2 linked regions of the Schizosaccharomyces pombe genome follow. The protein of the gene in region 2 interacts with the protein of the main gene of each other region in a pairwise test. Each region holds a gene or a part of one and is shown on either strand. Other genes may lie near its edges.

What was found.
Region 1: the proteins of dsk2 (region 2) and pga2 interact in a two-hybrid assay, tested with the Schizosaccharomyces pombe proteins (2 studies listed by BioGRID).

What each region holds. Positions count from the first base shown.
Region 1 is NC_003423.3:1,560,741-1,564,233, reverse strand, and holds pga2 (protein trafficking protein Pga2), read left to right. Parts: upstream 1-2,161; 5' UTR 2,162-2,198; coding exon 2,199-2,597; 3' UTR 2,598-2,908; downstream 2,909-3,493. Other genes in the region: protein meu25, read right to left, coding at 1-332; DASH complex subunit Ask1, read left to right, coding at 670-686, 742-889, 968-1,726; app1 (actin cortical patch protein), read left to right, coding at 3,112-3,493.
Region 2 is NC_003424.3:3,368,097-3,372,209, forward strand, and holds dsk2 (UBA domain protein Dph1/Dsk2), read left to right. Parts: upstream 1-1,630; 5' UTR 1,631-1,646; coding exon 1,647-2,711; 3' UTR 2,712-3,288; downstream 3,289-4,113. Other genes in the region: nucleoporin Nsp1, read right to left, coding at 1-1,353, 1,420-1,423; rmt2 (N-methyltransferase), read right to left, coding at 3,313-4,113. UniProt on the Schizosaccharomyces pombe protein: Protects ubiquitin chains against dissambly by deubiquitinating enzymes thereby promoting protein degradation.

The sequences.
Region 1 (3,493 bases), on a different chromosome or scaffold from region 2:
ACATATGATGGAGAAGGCGCTAGTGTCTGTAATGAATCCTGCGAGTCATCATGCTCATTAGAAAATCCCAAGTCGGTTGCTTTAACCCCTAATTTATGAAAAATTTTCTTGGCAAGTGCTCCCATTTCTTGCTGTATATTTTCTAAAGATATTTTGCTTTTAGTTGAGTCAATCGTTTCTTTTTCAGAGACATTGTCAGAAAACTCCTGCTGGACTTCCTTTTCAATGTTAGTTTCATAGATGGGATGCATAGTCGTAGTATTATCAGGGTTCGTCAACTCCATATTTACTATACTATCTGAAACAATATTCTCTCCAAAGATACTACTCATTTTGGATCTTGAGGATGCTGGCAAAAGACAAGTTGAATGTTTGTTTACTATGGATCATTTGATCATTGCAGTCTGCATTTAGTCCACTGAGGAAAGTAAACAAAACTTTAAAATTCATATTTATTACTCAACAATGATTGTATTAGTATTATCTTGAACTTACAAAAATCTCACTGTATATTGCCAATTTAACTTGTTTACTTTACGAAACATCGCTAATAATGGACGCTAGTATACCTACACCTCAGTTGCAGTTCGCCATAAATTTCACCATTGAGAGTTTCTATACTAAGAAATAATATTTTCAAAGTTTTTATGAGTATTAGATGTCATTCTTATGAACAATTTGGAACAGTATGCAGTAAACTTGTCGCGACTGTAGATAAACATTCTCTAACAAAAGAATTAGATTAGAACGATTGGAACAATCGATTACTCTAGCACTTTACGAAATTGATGCAAATTTTTCTAAATGTCATCGAACAGTGACTACCAAAATCTTGCCTATCGTGGAAAAATACGCAAAAAATTGTAACACTATATGGGACTCTTCAAAAGTATGTTCAATGGCAACTGCCACTCATGATTCAGCTTGTAATTTGTATTATTTTAAGAATTAAGCTAACAGAAAACAGTTTTGGAAGCAGTTTTTTGAAGCAAGTGCCAATGTTTCACTTTCGGGTGTAGAGGAACCTGTTCCAGTAGAATCCAATCCAAGCGATCAAGATGTTATGTCTAATTCTACAGAGGCGGACCTACAGCTGCACACAAAGAATGAACATTTGGAAAAGAGGCATTCTTTTGTCGGAAAATCTGATTTTCCCGATGCAGCTGTACAAGGAGATAATACAAAAAACGAGGATTTTGTACAGTCCACTCCTAAGAAGATGGATGTCTCCTTAGAGGATATTTCGTTAGATGATGCAGCTTTGACCCCCATCCCGGCAAGGATGCAGACTCCGCTAAGAAAACCAGAAAATAATCCTCATACAGGTCGTAGTGCCCTTCTGCATCGCGTTTTAGATACAAATTGGCAAGTACAAGTGACTCCACGTGAGCCTAAGAATTTGCAATCTCAAGAAGTAATGGATATTGATTCTTCTCCTTTTGTATCGCCTTCTCCCATATCAATGAAAATGGACATGCCTTCACTTAACGATAGAAACTCTTCGCATGCTCTTTCTTTATTTGCAGAATTTGAGCATGAAAGCTATGATAGCATTAACCCAAGTGGAATGTCTCCACCTAAAACTATCCAATTCAGCCCGCATACCATGGGGGTGGGTTCTTCTCAGCAAGCCAACGAGCGAAGCCTGTCTTTGCAGAGGAAATTAGAAACCTTGAATGATTCTAATGATAGTTTTGTCAAAGAAGAAGATAGTTGGGAACTCTGATAAAGCACTGCTGAAGTTATCACCTTCGTTTCGCCTTTAGTAGTGAACCTTACTTTCGCATTTTTTCTATTTATTTTCTAAGCACATATGTCTACTTCATAAAATCCCACCTTATATTTATGTTATATAATTTTTTATTTACTGTACGTTCTATTTAATTTGGAAAATTCTTCTTTTAAGAGAATCATAAGTCACGGTATAAATACTGTAAACCAAGTAAAATTTGTATGAAAATAATTTTAAAATAAACTAAGAAAGCAAATAACTATAAAATTTTTAAATAAATTAGTATTATAGCCTAATTAATAAATCTTTTTACAGCATATCATTGAGAATATACGTTAAGACGAATAACGAGGTTTTAAAAATTCTAAAAAAGTCTAAAGAATTTTAGTGACTTGGTTAATAATAGTTTGCCTGGTTGAGCAGACAGGTGAACTTAGTATCCACCACTCTTTTTTGTGCAAGGAAAATGGGGTTTGACGTTGCAGGCTATTTACAATCATATTCATTGAAGGACTGGATTCGAATTATCGTATATGTTGGAGGATATATGTTAATCCGGCCATATTTGATGAAGTTGGGAGCCAAGATACAGGAGAGAGAACATAGAAAATCTTTATTAGAAGGCGAAGTAGATGGTACTTTAGATCCGGAAATGACGCATGGCACGAAGCCCAAAGAACATGGAGAATTTGACACGGATGATGAGGAAGAAGAAGAAAATCCTGATGCCGAATTCCGTTGGGGTTATTCAGCACGCCGCCGTATTCGCAAACAACGTGAAGAATACTTTAAGAATCAAGACAAATCTCCTCTTGATGCTTACGCTGATGATGATGAAGACATCGAAGAGCACCTTGAGGATTAATTCTAGTTGTGAGATAATATTCATTACTCCAAGCACTTTAGAAAACTTGTGTCATTTAGTTTGTTAATCATTGTTTTAATTTCTTTGTGAAAATTTGATATCCTTTTCTCTTGAAACCGTGACTGCATGGATGAAAGCAAAAGCTAATTAATTGAATGTAGGATTAATAATGCAATTTGAGAGTGCATTCTTTTCCTACGAGATCAACGAAAGTCCTTTGATTGTTTCTCCTTTTTCTTGCATTTTTAAGTCATAATATCTTTTCGTGAGCCAAGCTTTAATCAATCCCCTGTTAGGTTTAATTTCAGCGTTTAGATCAATTTATTTTTCTTTCCCACTCATTCCAGTATTTTGAGTTGAAATATTACGTATTCTAAATAATCCTTAAATGCTCTAACAAAATTTAAGTATTTGCGGTAATATTACGATAAACGCTATTAACGCATGCATATGGGTTCAAATTTGCTTATTTTGAGCTTGACATGTTACGTTTCGGGGTGGGCTCTTACCGTCCATGTTTCGATCATTTGGACGTTTGTTTAGGGGCTCTGAAGAGAGCCCTACTATCAATGATTTGACTTCAATAACCATTTATCCTCAATGTTTCATTAGTACTGGTAAAGAGTACGGTAGTGAACCCAAGCACATATCAGTTCATGTTCGCGGTTGGGTTTACGAGAACCCTGATCTCAATAATCTTGGTCGTAAAGATCGTTTAATGTTGAATTTACTTCGTAGATATGTCGGTCTGCCTCCAAAATCCAAAGAAACGGGAACATATCCTGAAAAGGATGACGAAAACACAAATTTGCAGGTTGTAGTAGACACGAAAGCTCAATTGAACGTGAACGTGAATGATGGAAAGCCTAATGATATTGAATTATCATCAACCTCTA
Region 2 (4,113 bases):
CCCAGTCAGAAACCTGGTCACAAAGCTTATTAAAAACTTCAGTTTGCGTAGTCAAATCAGTAGACCATTTATTAAGGATTTCCTGAAGAGTTTTGTGTTTGATAGAAGATGGAGGAGGCTCAGAAGGAGTAGTGGAGGCAGTAGCGCCCGGCTTGGCGCTGGGATCGGCAGGTTTATTACCAAAAAGGGGACCGGTTTTTGAAGTAGATGTTGTAGTATCAGTTGCAGGTTTACCAAATGAAAATCCAGAGCTAGTCTGATTCGCACCTTCTGCAGGTTTCGTATTGTTCGAAAGTGGCGGAGCTGAAGTTGCTGTTGTGCTAGTATTTTCCGTAGGTTTTGAAGTGTTTCCAAAAGAAAATGTTGGCTTATTATCACCAGTTGAAGTAGCCGGTTTTGTAAAAGCTGAGTTGGGAGCAGTAGGTTTATTAGTATCCTCTGTAGTTGCAGGTTTTCCAAAACTAAATCCAGTACCAGCTGAAGATGTGGTGGTAGTACCTTTGTCCGTTGCGGTTGAAGCTGCTTGGCCCGCAGGCTTACCAAAAGAGAAACCAGTAGTTGGAGCAGAACCAGTGTTAGATGCAGCAGGCTTTGAGTCATTGGTTCCCGTAATGGAGCTACTGGGGGTGACAGTAGTGTTAGATCCTGGAGCTGAAGTAGTTGCAGGCTTTCCGAAGCTAAAGCCTGAATTAGCAGTGGTTGAAGTGGATGCATTATTAGTAGAGCCTAAACTAGCAGGTTTTCCAAAGCTAAAACCTCCGCTTCCAGTAGCAGGTGTCGTAGAAGTAGAAGAAGCTGGAGGGGCATTGCTTGTAGTCCCTGTAGCAGCAGGCTTCCCAAACAAAGAACCAGTACTAGCGGCTGCCGGAGTCGTCGTATTAGTCGTAGAAGCGGGTTTACCGAAATTAAAAGAATTATTTGAACTTCCAAAATTAAAAGTACTACCTGAAGGATTAGTAGTTGCTGCACCTGTAGCAGAAGAAGCGGTGTTTTTACTTTTATCACCAGTAGAGTTAGCAGACCCGGTACTTCCTAAACCTCCGAAAAGAGGTTTAGCCCCAGCAGTATTGTTGGTATTAGTAGACCCAAACGAAAAAGGTGAACTCGTTGATGCATTTGTTGAGTTGCCTGTAGTCGCTGCTTTACCAAAAGAAAAGGTACTGGGAGCACTGGTGTTACTCGCGTTATTAGAACCAAATAAGCCTCCAGACGGCGCTGTAGAAGAGGTATTATTATTTGTGTTTCCAAACAAGCCAGTCGCCGCAGGAGTTGCTGCTCCTTGCGCAGCTGAATTCGGCTGCGCAGGTTTCCCAAATGAAAACCCTGAATTCTGGTTATTACCTGGGTTGAAAGCTATTGATTTTGTTAGCAAATTTTAATAAATTCCAAGGGACCAGCTTTGCCGCCTCTTACACTTACACATTGATTTGGGTCTTGCTGAAAGTTGTATCAGGACAGTGAAATGTTTATGGCGTTCGGTCACAACTCGGTGAATTCGGAGACGTCGGTAACCAAAACGGAGAACTGGGTCACCATTCGGAGTTTTTGGGACCTGAAGAAAGGGTCCACTGAAGCTCACCGAAGATACTTCTTTTACATAAGAGCGTCATCGAACGAGTGGAAAATACCTAACCAAACCCAACAACATGACCAATATATCGTTGACTATTAAGGCGGCAAATGATCAAAAGTACGCAGTTACAGTTGATAGTGAATCTTCTGTACTTGCATTAAAGGAAGCCATTGCGCCTGTAGCTGATATAGAGAAGGAACGACAAAGACTGATTTACGCTGGTCGCGTTCTGAAAGATGAAGAGTCATTAAAAACATACAAAATTCAAGATGGACATAGTATACATTTGGTAAAAACCTTAGGACAAAATCCTGCAGCCGCCGCCACGAATGTATCGGACCGCACTCAACAAGTTCCAACGAATATTCAAGCAGGTCAGGGTGCTAATAATCCTCTTGCCAATTTAACTAGCGCTCGTTACGCTGGATTTAATATCCCTATGCCATCAGCATCTATGTTTGGTCCTAATCCTGAGAATCCTGTTCCACCCTCGACCGAAGAGCTTGCCAATATGTTGTCTAATCCTATGGTGCAGTCTTCTATTAATGAGATGTTTTCAAATCCTCAAATGTTGGATATGATTATTAATAGCAGCCCGCATCTTCGTAATGCACCTCCTTATGTCCGTCAAATGATGCAGTCCCCTGAGTTCCGTCGCGCGATGACTGATCCCGACACAATGCGCCAAATGGCTCAACTACATCAACAAATGGGTGCTGCCGGTATTGACCCTATGTCCTTAATGGGGGGTGGTCTAGGAGGAGCTGGCTTAGGCGGTTTAGGTGGAGCTGGTTTAGGTGGATTTGGAGGGGCTAATAATGCTACAGCTGGTATTGCAGGTGCCGCACCTGTTGATCAAACTGCTGCTGCCAACACCATTCAAAATTTATTAAATAACTTGGGAGGAGCTGGCTTCGGTGCTGGTTTGGGAGACGCCGGTTTGGGAGCTGGCCTTGGGGGAGCTGCCTCTCCTCCAGCTCCTGCTCAAGATACTCGCCCTCCAGAAGAGCGTTATGCTGAGCAATTGAGCCAGCTTAATGAAATGGGCTTTGTGGATTTCGAGCGTAACGTTCAAGCACTAAGAAGAAGTGGAGGAAACGTGCAAGGTGCTATTGAATCTTTGTTGAGTGATCTTTAATTCCTTTGTTCGTTTCTAGAATATATCAATCAGGCTTATTGGTGTTCATATATTTCAAGGATAATACCCTTTGTATCAAGACTTCCCTCTTCCCTTTTTCCTTTTGTAATAAAATTTATACGGCCCAATCTTTTGGTGATATTTAGATTATTATGCCATGCTTGCAAGTTTTGCCAGATTTACCTGAACAAGACTTTTAGTGACTTTACCTGGAAAGTCATCGTACTCTGTTTTATCGCGATGATCATATTAATCGATTTGAATGAATATGTTTAGTCGTTTAATTTAAGTACGATGACGAATTCTATATATGCTTCTCCTAGATAGAAAGCTTACTTGTTGTGTAAAAATAAGTTTTTTCTAAATTGTCAGTTTACTTACGCTTCAGTGATTTATAATGTTCAATAAACGATAGCAGTTTTAAGATACTAAAAAAAAAGAAAAATACGTCTGTTTAACATTACAACTTAATTATGCTTATGAAAGTTGAATTTCAAATAATAAAATGATATAGACAAAATTGTATTAAGATAGTTTATCCTTAGTCCCAAAAACTAAATTCCAAAGTTCCGTCCGATGACAAGCGTATAGTTCAGCAAGTTTAAAAATCAAAAGTGACAATGGGCAAGAAATACTTTGAAACATCCCAGTATCGACGCTTTGCGCCTTTCCATTCCTCGTCTTTACTACTTACGGGCATGGATTCGTATGTACATTGAAGCCCGAACGATACAAGATCGATGGGGACCAATTTTTTGTAAACATCGTAAAATGTTTGGTTGTCGGCGCCCAATCCGTTAAAAAAGGAGAACTTGGAATCTGTTTCAGGATCTAAGAGACCAACAACTGAATCAAAGAAGTTTCGAAGATCTTCGTAGCTTTCTGCGAAAGCATCATAGTAGATGCCATCGAAAACGTATTTAGACGCAATGTCGTTAATAGCGTTCTCCCAAGTTGTCTCATATACAATCACATTTTCACGATCCATCCAACCGTTTTTACGCATATGTTTCAGAACGTCCGGATGGGGCTCAATGATCACATGAAGCGAAGGCTCCTTTTCCTGAAGGAACGTATCTATTATTCCAAGACCAAAGCCGACATTCAAAACACGGCGGCCCTTGGTTGGTGCAATAATTTCAGCAGAACGATGCATTATTTTTCGTTCCCAACTCATCATAACAGCGTTTGCATCACTATCCAAAAGGCTTGAACTGTCTTCTGTAGGTTGCGTATAGGAGAGTGCACTTTGCAAGTATTTTTCGTTAGTATCCAATTGTTCGTTTGTAAGTTCCTTCCTCTCTAAGAGAGAAAGTAATAGCTCTGATCGAACTCCAGCATCCACGATTGTTTCGTACAAGCGCAATAAATTCCTACGACGTGCAATGCATCCAGGAGTTTC